Tribolium castaneum: one gene and its partner. The protein of the gene in region 1 interacts with the protein of each later gene in a pairwise test. Links are inferred from orthologs where the notes say so. Each region holds a gene or a part of one and is shown on either strand. Other genes may lie near its edges.

Region 1 (2,494 bases):
TTTGGGGATGGTTTTAACCACAGTTTTGACTTGCCACAGCTTGAAATTGAGGAAATCCCTGATGACGAAGGCGCGCCAAAATCTGGGACTTTAAGGGATCAATTCCTCAAACCTGGGTTTGAGAAACCCAAGGAGAGAATTGAAGAGAAAAGAGATGAAGACATTGACGGCAGGTATACGATAAAATTTTTGTTTGTTTTGTTTTAATCCGTTGAAAAATTTACTTTAGGTTGGATATAAGGGATTGGGGATCGGTTTTTAAGGGTGAAAATTCTCAAACGCCAGTACCGAGGACACGCTTTTTTGGCCAAAGTGTTACCTCCAAAACTGTTAGGAATCCAGATGGGGTACGGTTGCGTGTTATGATTTTAAAAATTTAATATCAATCTATTCATATTTTAGTCTATTGAAACGCATCATACTGTGAGGGATAACGAGGGTAATGAAGAAACGACCATCACGCGAAAAGTAGCTGATAAAGAATATACCATTACAAAACGTAGAGATAAAGAAGGTAAAGAAGAAATTATTGAAAATCTGGTAAACTTAGATGAGAATGAGAAGGATAAATTTTTCCCGCAACAAAGGAAACTTCCGGAATTGGGTAACAAACCTTGGCCGTTTTTTGACCAGTTTTTTAAATAATTGAATTGTAAAGTATGAAAATAGAAAAATTTATTTATTGATATATTCTGGACACGTAAGCAAGCATTAAAAACAGAAACGTTGTTGAGGTCGTTTTAAGAAATAAAACAACTTGTTTTACTTGTAATAATTTAATAATTCGCTTCGCATATTTATATACATTTCCTCACTTTACAATATTCTACAAGTGATTATAAAGTAAACAGGTTGTAAATGAAATTTCAAGCCAGTTCGGTTCCAGTCAGTGTATACTTTGGTTAAAAATAAAATTAAAAAAATAATTATGATAGTGCACACCCACGATGGAATGTCATTTTTCGTATTCAAAAATATGTAGTCTTCCCCACATTATTTTCTCTTCAAAAAGTATTTACATTTAGTTATAATCTGTTAGATAAGCTAGAAAATAGGCCAATATTTCTACATATCACATTGAAATACAATCCGACCGAAGTAACAACACAAACAAACTAACAAAAATTGCACAAGCACTGCAAGAAGAGGCCCAAAGAAACGAAATCTCAAACCATGGTCAAGAATCAGGTACGGCTGTTATTACACAATTGAAACTTTACTCCTGACCAAACGTATCAGTCTCTTCAATCGCGTAAGTCAACTTTTCCACCAACTGTTCGTAACTTTTGTACGGCGGCAGATCAAGACGATTGAAACACGTGTGCGAGCGCGGCAACCACGACTCCTTCCCCACCTTTTCAATGCAGAACTTTTGGGGCCCGTTGGAACCCATCAGTTCGGCGAAGCCGCCCACAGGCACACGACACGTCCCTGTCACAAACTGCAGCAAGCGGGCCCGCTTCTCATTATCAGACTGACGCACAAACTAGAAGAAAGAAAAAATAGAAGTGGTTTACAACGTGGTTTTAATACAAACCTGCCAAAACCACACCACCGGCTTGCTACTTCGCGTGTAGTGCCTGTAGATAGTGTGTCGTTGCCAATCGTCCACGTCTATCTCCTGCATGCCACAGAGCAGCAGCTCCAACTCCCTCTCGTCGAAATACTTCAGCCACTCAATGGGCACAACTTCGTTAAAACCGTCCAAAAAGGCTTGAGTTTGCTGCTCGATGCCTCTTGTCATCCTCCACTCGGTCATTAACGTCAAATACTCCTCTTTATTTTCTTCCGTAACTTTTTCCTTATCGCCGTTTTTCTTCAACTCATGGTGCACCACTTGGCCCAAAACTTCGAAATCGACGCTATAGTACAACTCCAAGCCACACTCATCGATGTTGTTCTCCTTGATCCACACCAGCGAATTGTAGAATTCGGGATCTATACTTTCAATATCTTTCATCACAAGTTTCTTCCCCAGCATCCGCTTGTAGAAGGGCATTGTGAAACCCGAATAAATAAATCTCCCGTGGTACAAAGCCATGGCGATAAAGCGCCCAATAAATTTGAAGTAAGTGAGGTGTTCGGGGTTCACATACGACGCAGGGTTGATTTGTAGACTGTAGTTGTTTTTGTTTGCGTACTCGAAGAGACAATACATCGGGTTTAGGGCTTCGTGCGAGACTAAGAAAAACCACTCGCGACTCACACCGCCGTAGTCTAGCCCTTCTTCGCCTTTGAAGATGATGTAGAGGCGCCTTCGGAGCTCGTACGCCGGTAGGCGCATTATCGTGTGGAAGGAGTCCTCAAAGAGGGTCTGACGCGACACTTGGATTTTTATGTGGCTGGGGAGGGCGTTGCTCTGACACAGGAACCTGAAAGGAAAATTTTGTTAGCTTCGCATTTTATTTTTATCAAACAATTACCTAAACTGGCTAATCTTCCACTTGAACGACCTCTCGTACGCCCTCGGCACCCCATACACCCCCTTGGGCCC
Region 2 (2,933 bases), on another chromosome or scaffold:
CGAGTCCTGATACGAATAAATAAACGTGTTTTATTCACACAGTTATTTCCCCCAAACCTCGTCCGGTGTTACATAACCTCACTTTTTGCAATTCCCTTGAAACTATCATAATTGGGTCACAACTCAACAAAATCGCACTTTAATAATTACAAATGAGTAGAGAGGCCCGCATTGGAAAAATAAGCACACCGTTTGGTTGAATTAACCCATTTTTGTGGCCTAACCTCAAAAAACATTTCAAGTGTTTAAAACTGGGCATTTGAATTATAATTGGGCAAAAGATGACTTTGGCGCCGCAATTAATTGATGTGTGCCGATTGTACTTAACTAGAACTAGTTTTGGTGTGTTTGGCCCAACTTTGGGCAACCTAACCTCACAAAAACCAAGCGTTTTATTTAGCAATTGTGGGCGTTTGGTACGATTTGGCGTCCAAATTAGGCCAGAAAGCAACGTAACGATCGTGTTTTTGGGGATTTGTGGTGATTTTGGGGCCGTAACCCCACAAAAAAAATGGGGGCTCAAGTTGGATGAAAGTACTTCTTTATTGATTATGTTACATAAGCGAATTAAATAATCTATCCCACGATTTAGTCCACTCACTTAAAAATAAAATAAAGGGCCCCCTCGAGCGTGGTAGAAAAAAAATTCGTAAAATCACAGTTGGTGTAATCGCCCCACTAGTCCGTCGGTCTCTTTTCGCTGTGTTTCTTCGTGAACTCCTCGGCGTTTTTGGTGAACTTCTTCTTGTCTTTGATGTATTCCTCGGCCAGATCGGCCCTGAGGGGGTGCTCGGGCTCGGGCTCGTTGACCAGCGCCACCAGGGCTTGGATCACTTGATCGGTTTTGGTGGCCGGCTTCCAGTTCTCAGCGCTGATGATCGGGAGGCACACTTGCCCCTTTTCGTCGATGTTCGGGTGGTAGATTTTCGTCTTGAAGGTGATTTTGGGGGGCTTGAAGGGGTACTCGGCCGGAAAGTTGATCTCTATCTTAAACGCGCCCTTGTTGTACGGGGGGTTGTCCTAAAACCGCGCCGTGAGCTGGGGGCGAAGCCTCGCACACTTACCGGAACTATGAGCCCCTGCCATGTCAAAATGTTCGTCTCGTCGACCTGAATGTCCCGGAACGACTTCAGCCCGGAGTTCCGGATGTCCCCCAACTCCTAGCAAAAATACAGAATGAGCCCGGAATCTCGCCCGGAAAATACCCACTTTTTGCAGTCTTCGCGTGGCCGCCATGTCGCGGATTTAGTCCAAAACGACCGGAAACGTAATAATATCAAAAAAAGCACTTGAATTGTTGGGAAAAAGCAATTTTTAATCACCCATTACACACTGAAATTTGACAGGTGAGGTGGGGTGACAGTCAAGTGTGCACGCACACCGCCAAATTCCCTAGGAACTTAACCTCGAAAATGCACTTTTTCGGGGTTTATCTGCTCTATTGCACCAACCCCAAGTACAAGGGGCGCGTCTACATCGGCTACACGGTGGACCCCAACCGCCGCATCAAGCAGCACAACCGCGGGAAGCAACACGGTGGCGCCTGGAAGACCAGTCAAAAGGGGCCCTGGTAGGTACAAAACGCCACACACCGGCCCTGTATAACACTTTCAGGTCGATGGTTTTGATAATTCACGGCTTTCCGAACAATATCTCGGCTCTAAGAGTAAAAATCGGACGTTGATTTGGTTTCAAATCTAGGGTTTTTTTGTTCTAGTTTGAGTGGGCGTGGCAACACCCGCACGTTTCGCGCCGTTTGGCGCACGTTTCGAAAAAAAATACCAAAGAAAAAGTTTACGATTTTACGATTAGGGTTTTAAGCGAAATGTTGCAAGTGGGGCCTTGGAAAAGGCTCCCGCTGACGATTCGCTGGCTCAATGATGAATTCAGACGCGATCTAGAGGTAAAAATTGCCAAAAATTTGTAAAAACTTGTCGTTTTTTTTTTTGTAGAAAAAGCCACCGGACCATATGCCAATTTGTTACGGCCCAGTTATTAGTAAAAAAATCCCAAGTGTTGTCACACTATCGCACGAAACGAATTTTTGTTATTTGTGTAATGATGAGGTTTTTAATGGAATGAAGTGTTTGAATTTTGAGTGCGATTTAAACGCTCATGTTATTTGTTTGTCCAAGTGTTTTCTCAAAGGGGGCGACTACGTGCCGGTGGAGGGGCGGTGCCCCAAGTGTTGCCAACCCTGTCTTTGGGGGGATTTAGTCCGCAGGTTTAAGGGCTACCACAACCAGGACGTGGAAATCACCAACTTAGGGGATTGTGAATAAATTGCTCAATTCTAATTTAAATTATACCGACTTTTACCACGATTACAAAGTTGGCAACACTGGCAAACGTGCCGTTAATGGCCATTTCATTACAACTTATTATTATTATTATTATTACAAATATATATTTTGGTGATTTTTTTTGTTTTTTTTTCCTAGACCCACTTGACAAGACGACATGATTAATTGTTTGTACAAAAAGAAAAATGTTGAATAAATTTGTAATTTTTGCAAAAAATTGTTTTATTTTAATAAATTGTCGGCATTTATTTATGCATTTTGTGGATGAATGTGGTGACAGAGGTCGCAGGCTGGGTCAGAGCACTGACAGACATATTATAAATGGAAGGAAACGCTCGCGTTTGCGTTTCATCACCTCTGAATTATTTTTACTGCTACCATATGTGAATAAGTTGGGAGTTTTTCATTAAAACCGGCGAGAAATTTCCGTTTTTCGTCTTCTTCCGGCAAATAATCAAACGGAGGAAAAAGTTCAAAACGATTTTATTTCACTTTTTGATTAATGAGATTATTTCCACCAAATCGGTCGGGGAGTGTACGGGGAGGGGCTTCGGACTTGGCCGCGCCCACCGAGCGCTGGTGTTGGCAGACGAGGCCGTAAATCAAACCGGTTCGTTCCAAAATCTCAAT

Evidence for each region.
Region 2: the proteins of Su(dx) (region 1) and Ubc10 interact in binary tests that used the Caenorhabditis elegans proteins (3 or more experiments, as listed by UniProt). The link is inferred for Tribolium castaneum from reciprocal best matches to the Caenorhabditis elegans genes wwp-1 and ubc-18.

Annotation. Positions count from the first base shown.
Region 1 is NC_087398.1:5,358,268-5,360,761, forward strand, and holds the end of Su(dx) (E3 ubiquitin-protein ligase Su(dx)), read right to left. Parts: coding exon 2,424-2,494; intron 2,373-2,423; coding exon 1,538-2,372; intron 1,487-1,537; coding exon 1,217-1,486; 3' UTR 758-1,216; downstream 1-757. Other genes in the region: HCLS1-associated protein X-1, read left to right, coding at 1-173, 230-347, 403-645. UniProt on the Caenorhabditis elegans protein: E3 ubiquitin-protein ligase which accepts ubiquitin from an E2 ubiquitin-conjugating enzyme in the form of a thioester and then directly transfers the ubiquitin to targeted substrates. Ubiquitinates klf-1.
Region 2 is NC_087401.1:17,188,570-17,191,502, reverse strand, and holds Ubc10 (ubiquitin-conjugating enzyme E2 L3), read right to left. Parts: upstream 1,352-2,933; 5' UTR 1,237-1,351; coding exon 1,210-1,236; intron 1,161-1,209; coding exon 1,065-1,160; intron 1,021-1,064; coding exon 679-1,020; 3' UTR 525-678; downstream 1-524. Other genes in the region: structure-specific endonuclease subunit slx1, read left to right, coding at 1,413-1,570, 1,615-1,666, 1,718-1,903, 1,953-2,282. UniProt on the Caenorhabditis elegans protein: Ubiquitin-conjugating enzyme E2. Accepts ubiquitin from the E1 complex and catalyzes its covalent attachment to other proteins. Required for diet restriction-mediated lifespan extension, probably acting as part of a complex with ubiquitin-protein ligase wwp-1.